Linked DNA regions of Astyanax mexicanus. The protein of the gene in region 2 interacts with the protein of the main gene of each other region in a pairwise test. Links are inferred from orthologs where the notes say so. Each region holds a gene or a part of one and is shown on either strand. Other genes may lie near its edges.

The links.
Region 1: the proteins of gtpbp3 (region 2) and protein mono-ADP-ribosyltransferase PARP11 interact in binary tests that used the Homo sapiens proteins (3 or more experiments, as listed by UniProt). The two-hybrid records come from large-scale screens. The link is inferred for Astyanax mexicanus from reciprocal best matches to the Homo sapiens genes GTPBP3 and PARP11.

What each region holds. Positions count from the first base shown.
Region 1 is NC_064409.1:19,623,700-19,630,898, forward strand, and holds the start of protein mono-ADP-ribosyltransferase PARP11, read right to left. Parts: upstream 3,014-7,199; 5' UTR 2,782-3,013; intron 622-2,781; coding exon 457-621; intron 296-456; exon of another isoform or gene 1-295. Other genes in the region: sodium- and chloride-dependent GABA transporter 2, read left to right, coding at 6,146-6,338. UniProt on the Homo sapiens protein: Mono-ADP-ribosyltransferase that mediates mono-ADP-ribosylation of target proteins. Plays a role in nuclear envelope stability and nuclear remodeling during spermiogenesis. Inhibits the type I interferon activated signaling pathway.
Region 2 is NC_064423.1:19,286,426-19,293,993, forward strand, and holds the start of gtpbp3 (tRNA modification GTPase GTPBP3, mitochondrial), read right to left. Parts: upstream 3,018-7,568; 5' UTR 2,801-3,017; coding exon 2,751-2,800; intron 1,735-2,750; coding exon 1,475-1,734; intron 1-1,474. UniProt on the Homo sapiens protein: GTPase component of the GTPBP3-MTO1 complex that catalyzes the 5-taurinomethyluridine (taum(5)U) modification at the 34th wobble position (U34) of mitochondrial tRNAs (mt-tRNAs), which plays a role in mt-tRNA decoding and mitochondrial translation.

The DNA of each region.
Region 1 (7,199 bases), on a different chromosome or scaffold from region 2:
TGACTAAGGGGTTGTATAGTTTTGTCAATGAGGAAATCCCAAAAAGAACTTGTTGATATATTAGAAAAAGTATTGATGTAATTTAAGTTGGTGTGTGGTTGGTGTGGCACAGTGGATAACACCACTACCTTCTAGTGCGCTACCACATCAAGTGTGTGACCCACCACTGTAATAGAAATAACCTTGTAAGTCACTTTGGATAAAACTGTCAGCTAAATGCCATACAAAGTTGCATTTGTCCTTATTTAATCTGATTGTGAATAAGTTTAAAAAATAAAGTTAAACTTGCTAAACACTTTACTGCAATGGAGGCTGACTTATTTTGAACACCACTGTGTGTTGTGTTAATACAGCCTGCAATCAAATAAAAGTACAACAAAATGTAAGTGACATTTTTTCCTTGCATTTTTGCAAGGAAGCAAACTTGTAAAAGCTGACCAAGGAAGAACCACATACTTCAAACATATGCCACACTCCACACTCTGCCAGGTAGAACCAGTGCCAGTTGGGTTCTGATGTGTCCATCTCCTCCTCACCGCTCTCCTCCTCAGGACTCCTGGGGTTAAAGATGGTGTTCTCCACATGCTGCTGCAGACACTTGTCACCTGCAGAGCAATGCATCTACAAAAAAAATACAAAATGTCATTACCACAATTTGCCAAAACGAAAACAACTGGAAACATAAGCAACTGTTACAAAAAGTACAAAGTGTTAGATCATGTAAAATGGTAGAGCGAAGCATAGTGCACAGAGGTTACAGACCTTCTGCAGTCAATTACTACAGACCTCCAAATTTCATGTGGCCTTCAGAGTAAGGAGAGATCCATGGAGTGAATTTCCATGGCTGAGTAGCTGCATCTAAGCCTTACATTACCCAGCAACCATCTGGTGTCAAGCCTGCTTCTCTAACATGTAATAACATATCTGGCTAAATGTGGCCTAATAACAGTATAATTGATTAAATTAAAATAATTAAAATCTCACATAAGTACAACAAACCTCACAGTTTACTTTTTATGTATATAAAACAGTCTGTTCATGCAGGAAAACCTTCTAATGTGGCTGAACCTTTTGCACTTTTTCATATTCCACTGCTGTAGATAACATGTACTTACTTGTAAATAATATCCATACCCCATTACTGCTTTCATGTATATATTTCCATCATGGATGTAAAGTTAACACTAATTAATATTTATATTTTGTTTTTTATTCTTTCTTTATTGTATATTTTCTATTTTTATCTTTATGCGGCATACTTGGCGAGGGGCAAAGAAAGAATTTCATTGTACGAGGAAACTTGTTTCTTACTGTGCACATGACAATAAACTCTTTGAACTTTGAACTGAATTAAACCAATACTGTAAAGAAGGGTGGGCCAAAGTTCCTCCACAGAGATGTGAAAGACTCATTGCCAGTTATTGGTAAAGCTTGATTGCAGTTGTTGCCGCCAAGGGCCGTCAAAAGTTTGGATGCACATTCAATGTTTTTCTTTATTTCTTTATTTAGTTAATTTTCTACATTGTTGATTAATATTAAACCTGATGAATTATGTAGTATACAGTAATAAAAGTGTTTGTACGCCACAATTTCCTGACCTAAACCAAATTATGATGGTGATTTGGGATGAGCTGCAGCACTGCATGAAGGAAAGGCAGCAACTATTGTTCAGCACCTTTAGGAACTCCTTCAGGATGCTGAGAAGAGTGTGCAAATCTGTTCTCAAAGCTAAATGTGGTACTTTGAAGAATCTAAAGTATAAAACATTCCTTTTTACAGTGTTTACACTATAATTCTGTATGTGTCCTTGTATAGTTTATGTATAGTCTCTTAAATATTAAATTTATAATGTAAAAATTATTTTAAAAATAGAAAACCTATTGAATGAGAAGACGTGCAACCTTTTGGACTGGAACTGTAGGTCTTTTGGAGATACAATATTTCTGTATGACAGTGACATACTACTATACAGCTCTGAACAAAATAATAGACCACTTAAAAGTGAATTGAAAACCTCTGGAATATAATCAAGAGGAAGATGGATGAGCACAAGCCATCAACCCAAGCCGAACTGCTTGAATATTTGCACCAGGAGTGGCATGAAGTTATCCAAATGCAGTGTGTAAGACTGGTGGAGGAGAACATGCCAAGATGCATGAAAACTGTGATTAAAAACCAAGGTTATTACATCAAATATTGATTTCTGGATTCTTAAAACTTTATGAACATAAACTTGCTTTCTTTGCCTTATTTGAGGTCTGAAAGCTCTGCATCTTTTTTGTCATTTCAGCCATTTCTCACTTTCTGCAAACAAATCTGTTTATTTAACTCAAACATGTACCTACAAAATCAGGGAAACTGATTCAGAAACTGAGGTGGTGCCTTAATTTTTTTTTTCAGTGCTGTATATTAAAAATGCTACAGTAAGAATTGTGTTAATGTAAGTTTGATCAGTTATACTGTTATGGTTTACTTTCAGTATTCATCCAGAAACACAGAAAGATGGTAATCTAACTCTCACTCACTGCAAAAACTAACTTTACTGAATAAAACACTGGATAGTTATTACACTGTTACATTATATCTGTAATTTATCAGCAGAATAAACACATACTTCATTTACACCCTTTTCACTGAGCTCCAGGGTGAGTGAATCTCTCAGTATTCAGCGCTGGGCTGGTGCTGTACAGTGTATTTTAGCTATATACTGATAATAGAAAAGAGAGTAATTAATTAATCAGTGCTGTTTAACTGCAGTGAGCTTAAATCCACTATCATTACCTTATCCGCTGCTGCTCGAGCCCCTCGGCTGCACTGCTACAGTCTCTCTTATCTGCCCTGCAGAACCAGTACAGTCCGCCCAGTTTAAAGGCAGTAATGTCTGGGTTCCGGCAGTATCACTGTCCTCATCATTTTCAGCGAAATATCAATCTTTTTCATTTTTATTTCCTTTCCTTTTCGCTTCGTTGTTATTGTTTACCGGGGCTTCCGCATTCGTCACGGCTGACGTCGCCCTGACGCTCCCGTCCGCATCCATGAAGAAAAAAAAAAGATTTATTTATTTTTTAAAAAGAAAGTGATGATTTTCTATTAAATGTTTTAAAATATAGATTTATCCATTTTATAAGTAATATATATTGTTTGTTGGTGCACAACACGACCCGAATAAATGTCTGTTTCCTATATCTATTCAATAAACTGAATCATTCAGTATTGAACATACAGCTCTGGCAAAAAATAAGAGACCACTTCTGATTTTGCTATTCATAGGTGTATGTTTGTTTTATTCCGTAAACTACGGACAACATTTCTCCCAAATTCCAAATAAAAATATTGTCATTTAAAGCATTTATTTGCAGAAAATGAGAAATGTATTTGAGACCTCAAATAATGCAAAGAAAACACGTTCATATTCATAAAGTTTTTAGAGTTTAGAAATCAATATTTGGTGGAATAACCCTGGCTTTTAATCAAAGTTTTAATGCATCTTGGCATGTTCTCCTTCACCAGTCTTACACACTGCTTTTGGATAACTTTATGCCACTCCTGCTGCAAAAATTCAAGCAGTTCAGCTTGATATGATGGCTTGTGACCATCCATCTTCCTCTTGATTATATTCCAGATGTTTTCAATTTGGTAAAATCAAAGAAACTTATCATTTTAAGTGGTTTCTTTTTTTTTCAGAGCTAAATAAACCCTGCTGGCATTTCAATGCTGAATTAATGTTGATTTAACGTTGATGTTATGGTTGAATCAATGTTGGATTTGGTGTTGATTTTAAAAACTGCCAATGTTGTTTTAACGTTGTGCGTTAAACCTTTAATAAACCACAGCTCAAAATGTCTTTGATAGTAACTACTCTCACATTTTTTAAATTAATAGCTGGAATATGTTGCTCTGTAATGAGAAAATTTACCAGCTCTGCTTAACAGGCTTACAAATGAGATGCAAATTTAGATGTTTGAATATATTTTCATCAAAAGTTTATTTAGTACAGTTAAAAAAATTATGTTCTTAATTGTTTTTGGCATACAAGTTTAAGAATACAAGCTGGCCTGAGCACTAACAACGGCAGATTAGCCAGTTAGCTAATAGGCTAACTGGCAATGGTGACCATTGAATAACGGGCTAAAAGGAGGATAATAATAAAGTATGCAGAGAAACAGATACAGTCTTTACTTACAGAACTACAAATTCTACTATATGCTCAGTGGACCTAAAAATTGAGTATTGAACCAACAACCCTGTGATTATCACTGTTACTTGCTCAATGATAATTCAAGATATATTCAAATTATATTATATTTGACTTTAAACATAGCCAAACTGTTTTTGGAATTGGAATTCTCTGGAATCCTGAATTCCCTGCAGGAGAAGAAATGCTCCCTCTGAGCTGCCAAACCATCTGAGCCAGACCAGACACGCCCTCCCAACGGATAGTTTTAATCCCACCCATTTTCAGACAATCCCCTCCCCCAAGCTAGGATTGGCCAATGGCTCTTAGCAGCTAATCCTAGTGTAGGTGGGCGGGGCTCGGCGTTAAACGGGCGGGAAACAAAACTGGCGCTACAAGGTTGTGGGAGCCAGATCCAGAGAAATGGGGCGTGGCTTCCGGAAAACAGGTGGGGATAAGAGTGCTCCCACACAAACTCCCAGAGCATTCCCCACAACTGTCTGATTCTGCAGAACTTAGTTCACTGCACTCTCACAGGGAATAATCACAGCTGATTCTGGTGAGTCTGCATTCGTCTTTTACTCCATCCTGCTCTTCATTCTGCAGATATTTTAGTTATTTTTGCAGAAATGCAGTCATTTTTCTTATTTAGTGGAGCTGCTGCAAGTTAAAAACTTTCTCATATTCTGGAAGTTGTTCATGAACAGTGTATTATTACACATCAGGGTTGTTTAGTGAGAATGCTTTGTTCTGGAAGCCAATATTGGCTATTTTATTACACATATGCTATGTTGCAGATTAAATTGATTTAATTTAGCATTCTATTACTCCTAAGGGTGCTTTTAATTTATTTATGTGTTCAGTTTAGATCAGATTGGGATAAACTAGGTTATACTTTTAGGGCTGTTCTGTTACACCTAAGTGCTGTTTTTAAATCAGAATGTTCCATATATTATTGGATAGACTACAATTTTTTGAGGCAAACAATTTTGTTCTGAAAAGTTTTAATGGCTATTATACTACACCTACGAGTTTTAGTGTATTTGTATATTTAGATTAGATTGTTAGGGAAAAAGTTTTGTTCTGGAAAGTTTAGATAAGATTAGATAGATGTTTATTTATTTTATTTTATTATTTAAATAGATCAGAATGAATGAGATGTGATTTCATTTCATTACATTATATATTACATTATATAAAATTACATTATATAACATTGTTAAGGGGAAAAAGTTTGTTCTGGAAAGTTTAGATGAGATTAGATTGTTGTTTGTTTGTTTGTTTATTTATATATTGAAATCAGATTAAATGAGATTAGTTTTAGTGTCTTCATTTGTTCACATTTGACTACATTTTTATGAAACTTATGTTTTAAAAAATATTTTAGTTGCCATTCTATTACAATTAAAATTATATCAGGGTTTTTATTATTGTTATTTTTGATTAGATTAGCAACCCTGTCACGTTTTAACGTAAATAACTTGCCAATGTTGATACAAATATTAACATTAATATTAATAATGACTGTATGGTTATGGAGGAAAATATACTTTTTGTAGGATGAACATATCTTTCATGTTATGGGCTTGAAAAAAATCTGAAAATTGTGAGAATGAAAAATACACAGTAAATTCACCAGTGTTAAATTAACGCTATTAGTGTTAAATGTTAAGGTTACCCTGAGAGTGTAAAACTGTACACTACTGTGTTTATTTAAAACTAGTGAATTTACTGTGTAGCTCCTGATTTGTTGGTGTACTGTGTGGGAAATCAGAAGATATGATGCATTCTGAAGTGCACTATTCAAAGTAACAGTGACAGTCAACTTCAAAGTCATTCTTTCTCATTACAGTTATGTTAGGATTAATTATGCAAACATTGTACCCGCAATGCAAATCTAAATGTGAAAAAAAATCATTATAATTTGACATGCACTGCAGTGTGAGCGTGTGTGAGAGAGAGACAGGCTTCATGGGGGAGAGCAGAGGGGAAGACACTCCTATCAGCGGGTCTGCAGATCCTCAGAAGGAGAATGAACCCGGTGGTCCAGAGCACAGAGAGAAGTGGGCCAATAAGACGGAGTTTCTGCTGTCCATGGCTGGAGAGATCATCGGCCTGGGGAACGTGTGGCGATTCCCTTACCTGTGCTACAAGAACGGAGGAGGTGTGTGTGGTTAAATAATACGTATGGGTTATATTACTATGACCCATGTTACATATAAGAACCTACATACTGTATATGACTAGAGATTATAGTAGAAATATTTGTGGTCACAAATGTTTTTTTTTTTTTTTTCATTTAGGGGCGTACTTACTATTTGTTGCCTGTGGTTTAGACATTAGTGGCTGTATGTAGAGTTATACAAGCTGTACACTGATTACTTTACATTATATAAAAGTGTCATATCTTTAGTGTTGTCCCATGAAAAGATATAATACATTATTTATAAAAATGTGAAGGGTGTTCTCACTTTTGTGAGATACTTTATATATATATATATATATCATACATATGAGACTCATATCAGACTTATTATGTAGTATGTACTAGGGGCGGGTGATATGGCTCTAAAATAATATCACGATATTTCAGGGCATATACTTGGCAATATAGGAAAACAGAAAAATAATTCATTTCATAATTAAATTCATTTCAGGAATATAGTATAATAGTTACAGTATAATCATAATGTGACAACATAAATAATATAGCATAAAATAATATAATGCAGCAAAACATATTGCAGAATATTTCCATGCATATAAACTGCAAACAAAAACTATAAACTAAAACAATTATACAACAAAAGCTTCACAGTAAATAATAGACTACTTTTAAGACAAAATATCATGGTATTTCTGTGTCACGATATATTGCATACGATATGATATTGCCCACCCCTAGTATGTACAATACATTATTCTGAAAGTAATGATACTGTATATAGACATACACAATATATAATTGTTTTAAAGCAGTTGAAGCTATGGATTATTTCACAAACATAATATATGTAAGACATTT
Region 2 (7,568 bases):
TGTTCTTCTCCACCAGTCTTACACACTGCTTTTGGGTAACGTTTTGCCACTGCTGGTGCAAAAATTCAAGCAGTTCAGCTTGGTTTGATTGCTTGTGATCATCCATCTTCCTCGAATATATTCCAGAGGTTTACAATTTGGTAAAATCAAGGAAACTTATTATTTTTAAGTGGTCTCTTATTTTTTTTCCAGAGCTGTATATAATCTGTCTCTATTAGATATTTATTGGAAAATAAGAACCGTGTAAAAAAAAAGGTGTAACAACTTTTTCACACCTCAATCTTCTTCACACCTCAGACAGATTGTGAATTAAGTGTTAAAGATTGATCAAGATAAGTAATACTATTAATAATACAAGCGCAAACCACCATACACTCAATAACAATAAGACAATTTAATGCATTAAGAGAATATGTACATATATAGGATTTGATATGTCCTTGCTGTCATGCATGCAAAAAAAACAAAAAAAACATATATCTCTATGTTTGTTTTAAAACAAACGCTCCAAATTAACTTATACTTAAATATTTTAAAATATATATTTTTCTGTAAAGTTTTTGAAGAATATTTTGAAGAATATAGCAATATTTTCACTTTTTAAACTAAGTGTTCCACTATTAATGTATATTTTAAGGTTAAAGTTAATTTTATGTTAAATCAATAACAAGTTAAAGAAATACTACACCAAACTGCTATTCGCTGTATATAAAAGTTCGCAAAAGATCATAAAGATGGAGATTTTTCTCTATTGGGCAAATTCTCATATGTATTAGAAATGTAACTGTAATAGACATATAATATAATATATAATATATAATTATAATCCTTTTTTGATATATGTTTGACAGCAAACACACCTCAAAAGAAACAGTAACAGGATGATAGCAAACATATTTCTAGGTATTAAATTATTTAAATGTTAATATTGTAGCAATGGCTACTTTTAATATTTGTTGTAATGTAGCTAACACCTAAATATTAATTTCTGTAGAGTTTGGAAATCAATATTTGGTAGAATTACACTGGTTTTTAATCACAGTTTTCATGCATCTTGGCATGTTCTTCTCCACCAGTCTTACACACTGCTTTTGGGTAACGTTTTGCCACTGCTGGTGCAAAAATTCAAGCAGTTCAGCTTGGTTTGATTGCTTGTGATCATCCATCTTCCTCGAATATATTCCAGAGGTTTACAATTTTGTAAAATCAAGGAAACTTATTATTTTTAAGTGGTCTCTAATTTTTTTTCCAGAGCTGTATATAATCTGTCTCTATTAGATATTTATTGGAAAATAAGAACCGTGTAAATGTTCCTTTTCCTTTCAAACTGTTAGAAAATGTGCCCTGATGGTCCATATTGCCCTAAAATAATATGACGATACTTCAGGGTATTTTGCGACATAAAACTTTACCGATATTATTGCATTCGATACAGAACACCCTTAATATTGACCCCGCTGAGCTGTAAACGAACCTGGAAACCACAGCACCAGGCCTCGGTCCAGCACCTCATTGGTCTGTGGGTTAAGGATGCTGCGCAGGAGGGCGGTTCGGGGGGCGGGTAGAGCGCGGCTCAGACCGGCCACACTGCGGAGAGCCCCGCCTGCAGCCGGTCCGCTGACCCGGACCACGGCCACTCCACACCGGCCCTGCCCAGAGGAGAGAGCGTAGATAGTGTCCACGGGTCCAGCGGCACTGCTGACTGAAGAATCACATCTTACACGCACCCGCAGCCTGCAGAGAAGAATGTTACACACACAACCTGTCATTATTCATTCACTCCTAACCCAAAAGAGCCCATGGTGAACATTAAAAAACTGTGTAAATTTCCATACAGCACTTTGTCTGTAATTTTAAAGGATAAATTCCCTAAGTGACAGGACAGTGTGTGAATAGGTGCTTTAGTTCATCTTATCTCATTTACAGAATATATGGTGCTGGGTTAGTTTGTTTTCAACAATTTTAACAATTCAAACGCTTTCATTTGATGTTTTGTATTCTATATAACTAGTTCTGGTCTGATTTCTAGAACCAAATATTAAAATATGAGCTATTTAATTGTTGTGTCATTCATGCTACATCAGGATTTTTAAACCTAACATACAGCTCTGGAAAAAATTAAGGTACCATTTAATGATAATGTTTTTCCTTGATTTTACCAAACTGAAAACCTCTGGGATATAAACAAGACATCAAACCAAGTTAAACTGCTGGATTTTTTGCACCGGTAGTGGCACCATGTTATCCAAAAGTAGTGCGTAAGACTGGTAAAGGAGAACATGCCAGGATGCATGAAAACTGTGATTATTCCACCAAATATTGATTTCTCTACTCTTAAAACTTTATGAATATGAACTTGTTTTCTTCACATTATTTGAGGTCTAAAACCTCTGCATCTTTTTTGTTATTTCATTTCTCATTTTCTGCAAATAAATGCTCCAAATCATCTAGCATCTATCTATTTTTATTTGGAATTTGGGAAAAATGTCCGCAGTTTATAAAATAAAACCACAATGTTCATTTTACTCAATCATATACCTATAAATAGCAAAATCAGAGAACCTGATTTAGAAACTGAAGTGATCTCTTAATTTTTCCTAGAGCTGTATTTATAGGCATGCGCCCACAATATGGAAAATAAACATGAACACGCTGCTCCTTGAATTTACCTGATTAAATGTTTTATTAGCCATCAATATACAGAAATGGTGTCTGTGATCTCAGCACCAGTAACCTATCCTAGTACACACCTTACTGCGGTCATCCGCAGAGCTCTTCTCCAGCAGCGGGATAAACTCATGATGAAACTTTAGCTTTATTACTCCTGCGGCCCTAAATCAGCAGGTACAGTGTGAGAGAGCTGAGCTCTTTCCACAGCGCAGATTAACATTTCTCAGGTTCTGTGAGTAATTTCTCTTTTTCTTAGCTCCATGTCGACCTCTCTCTCTCTCCGGCCGCTCTCACATGTGATTCTGTGCGCTCTGTTTAAAGCGTGCTCGGTTTGTTGTTGTTGGGTGTTCGTGAATATGATTGGTTCATTTCATCTGCTCCGTAAATCTAGACGTGACTCAATTGGTCCGAACCCTGTCAATCAAACCAAGCCACGCCCCCTGTGCGCTCGCGTAATGTCTCCGTGTTGACGCCGCAAATGTAGCGTGTGTAAAGGTCCGTTTGTTTGAGGCCAACAAAACAACGCTGTTTTAATACGAAAAAAAACATATCCATTTAAATTATTTGAACAGTATTTATAACTTTAAATAAACTTGACTTAATCATATAAGTATAATCTATTAACACAAGAACACAATGCTTAGACTTGAAACCACCAATTTCTCACATCTGCTAACATCTATTTACTCTTTACAGAGCCACTAAACTCTAAACCATATTTTGCTATTAATAGCTAAATGTGTTCCTGAAGTAACTAAACATATACCACTCCGGCTTAAGATGTTTATAAACATTTTCTAACCTTTAAAAAACATTTTAACACTTTTTAAAAAAACACTGATAATTTCTGCCTGTAGTGCCCTCTCAGGTTTAACTGTGCTAAAGAAGTGAATGCTGTGTCCGTTTGCTTTGGAACGCAGACACATCACAATAAGCACATCCATCAATCAATTATACTGCAGACTTCCCAAGTCTCCCAGAAGTTGTGGGAATCTACAGCATATCAATAACGGCTCCCTGATGCCCGCAAGTCAGATAAAATCTCCTGGAATCTAGAACGAGTGGCCCAAGAGTGAATACAATTGCACTCGCAGGTGACACAGACTGTTTTCCCCAATCAAGAGGTATTAGCATTGCCCACGGGGGACTAAATGATTGCGAATGGCATGAGGTGAGTAAATGTGACTAACAAACAGCTCTCCCTCCTGCCCTGCTTCTAAACCCATACATCACCCAGTGCCCCTCCCAAACTACCCCTCCCAATTTTTAGCATATTTTAAATTAAAGCTGAGGGTGGAGTCAGCAAAAATCAGGTGATTAGTGCCCCTTTAAAAAAGTCCACTTATTTTAATGTTACAAAAAAAAAAAAAACTAATGTATGATAGTAAGGGAATATGTGTCTCAACTTTACAATTTAAAGAGCTCATAATTTAATGCATAAAGTATTTTAATATTTGTTTACATTGTTCCACTAAAATATAAGACTTATACAATTATAAGTACAATTATAGTTAAATTGTTATATTGTTTTTTCAATTATTAAACACTATTAAACACTACTAATTATTAAATATTTTGGGAAGCTGTCAAAAGTGAGCACAATGCTTAACAGTCCAAAAACCTTTGTCTCATATGTTTTTAATTTCATGAATTGAATCTTATTCTGATTGGTATACAGAACTATTAGCTTATGGAAAATAATATGTCAACACTCATGGGCAATAAGACAATTGATCTATGACCTGAGAGCAGTGCATGCTCGCGGGGCTGTTCATTTCACTGCAGAGGTGGTGAGACATGTGGATGGTGAGTAAGCAGAAATTATATGGCTTGGCTTCCTCTTAGCAGAGAGCAGACATATGGGGAGGGAAGGGAGGGGGGTGACTGCTTAGTAGCTGCTGGCCAGTAGAGATAGAAGGATATAAGGACCGTTTTTGTTTGAGATTTAGACCATGTTTTAAATCTAAGCACGGAGGCTTGACTTTGACCACACACAAGTTCTAGTGTATTTGAGATAAAAGGATCAATAGCATCTGTTTTCCACATCACACTAGCTTGGAGTCTTTATGTCTTCAGTGTACAGTATAATGAACAGTTGATGTTTTATGAACACTATATTTATGTTATATGTATATTACTATTTATATACAGTATGTATAAAAGTATTATTCATGTACACATAATATATGTTAGTGGTTTCAGTATGGATATTGTGATCTAATATTTTTTTCTATCACATTTATGGTAATAAATAACATTTAGGAATGTAAAACTGTATTAGCCTGTATTATTGCTACACACAAATCTAAGAAAATCTTTCTCTCTATGTAAATCACGCAAAAAAATCATAGAAGGTGAGGTGCTCAGAGGATATTTTTTGCACTGATAAATAAATCATACAGCGCTTCATCCTCTGGAACTGAGTGAGTCTCATTAGCTGCACCATTTCTAAGCCTGCACCTGAACACACCAGAACAGCTTGAAAAATAAATCTCTCGTGTGGACCAAGTTCTTCCTTTTCCACTCAGTAATCATTTAGAAACTGCTGCTTATGTTTTCTTTTTGATGAAATGTGCTGAGTGACAGAAAAAGCCAGTTTGTTGTACAAAGCAGTAATGCCTAAATGGAGGAGGTAAGTTCGACTGAGGTGTTCATTATGGGACAACAGGTAATGATGGGCACTAGGGAACAACATCAGCTAAGCTTACTTCAGCTGGACTATTGTTACCCTAAAGAAGTAATAACAGAGTATTAATAGTTTGGGTAATATGTAAACGTAAATAATAATATATAAACTTTTCATGGAAATGTAAAAATATAACACTGGCAAAATCATAGGAAAGCAGTATGTAATTGATTGTGAAATGTTACCTCAAGGGACAGCTTGGCAGTGTCCACACTTTTGAGGTTTTATCTTGTAAGTGAGTTTGTACCTGGCCAGCGTGCTCTTGGCAAGCATCATAAAAAATGCAGTTTCAGCAAGGCATGTTATTGGGTGCCCAAATGGGACATTCCATTTCTGAAGCTATGCAAGCATTTAACATTTCTCAATCCACAGTTTCTTAAAACATCATAGAATACATTACCACCCACAGAAGACAGTGCAGTTGGTAGTAACAGTGGTGGCCAGCAGTGTCTGGCTAGAATTATACATTTCTGGCAGAAATCACATCCACATATCCACATATTCCACAGGTCACTATGGTATTCCTTAGATAAAACATAGCAAAATCATGGGATACCAGTTGAAATTCATAATTTTACTATCTATTTACATAATTTCCAATTTAACATGTATACTCTACAATGTATTATTGGTAGTGATAGGTAGGGATAGAAAGAGTAAATGTTCTCCACTTGTAAATTATTTTCTGGACAGTGGAATGAGGTCTGTTTGTTCTGAGATACTTTCCAGATTCATAAACATCAACAAACTTCTTTCTGAAGGCCTCAGAGAACTCCTCATGAATCCCCCTACTTAAACAAAGTATTAATATGAACTAATTATAGTATATACAAAATGTGATGTTACAATGGGCACTACTATCTCACATTGTAGTGTAAAACAGAAGAGGTTTAGCTATTTACATCAACACAACATCAGAAAAATGCTGAATAGCAATGCAAATGCTGTGCCAGGGATGTTTGTTGTCATAGCAGTTTTTCATCTCTTCCTGTTAGTGCATAACAGGTTATTATATTATTATTTTGTATGCTAATCTTTGAAACCTGCACTATTAAGATAAGTCTATATAGTCTAGAGTATTAGTGTGTAGAACACAATTGGGTAAAAGAAATGGCTGAGGTTTGAATGAGACAGGCTACTTCAAAATTCTCTCTTACTACATTTAAATTACCTGGAGATGATTCTAAATTTAGGCGTTTTAAGCAGGAATAAATCACTCAATAAACTCAACAAATTGTATTTACATGAATTAAACTGTGTCAAATAATATCTCCCTAATCCTTCAGGATTTTTTAACTGAATATCAAAGACCAAATGTAGTTTTCTAAATACTGACATATTTGTCATGGGGAATATTTCACAATACTGTACACAGATAAACAGATACAACTAAGGAAGAGAAAAAACCTTACACAGCACGATTGCCAGTTAACACACAGGGAGTGTTAAACTTAACACTGGTAACGTTAAATATGCGGTGGAAAAAAGAACAGTCAGTGTAAGAAGAAGCGTTAGAAAGACAAGAATATGATGAATTAGGAGAAGGAAGAGAGAAGGGTGCTAGAAAGAAAAAAGAAAGAGGTCTGGAAAAAATAAGAGACCACTTAAATATGATAACAAATGAGTTTCTTTGATTTCACCAAATTATAAACCTCTGGAATATAACCAAGAGGAAGATGGATGATAACAAGCCATCAAACCAAGCCGAACTGCTTGATTTTTTGCACCAGGAGTGGCATAACGTTATCCAAAAGCAGTGTGTAAGACTGGTGGAGGAGAACATGCCAAGATGCATGAAACTGTGATTAAAAACCAGGGTTATTCCACCAAATACTGATTTCTTAAAACTTTATGAATATGAACTTGTTTTCTTTGCATTATTTGAGGTCTAAAAGCTCTGCATCTTTTTCAGCCGTACTGTACTGATTGCTATGTTTAACTTATAGAATATTTTTAATAACACTTGTTCTTGGTGTGCTACCAACAAATGTTTTTTTGTTTCGTTTGTTTGTTGAAACTGATTAATGTGCTGTTTTTCTGTGCACTGAAACCAATAAACATTGAATATCAAAACAAACAGAAAATAACAGTAAATACAGAGTTACTGAATCTGAAAAGAGAGAAGTAAATTAGAGAGACAGAGGGAAGAAGGAAGAAAGAGAAGACAGACAGAGAGTGAGTGTTAGTGTGAGAGTGTGAGTGTGTCCTCCTC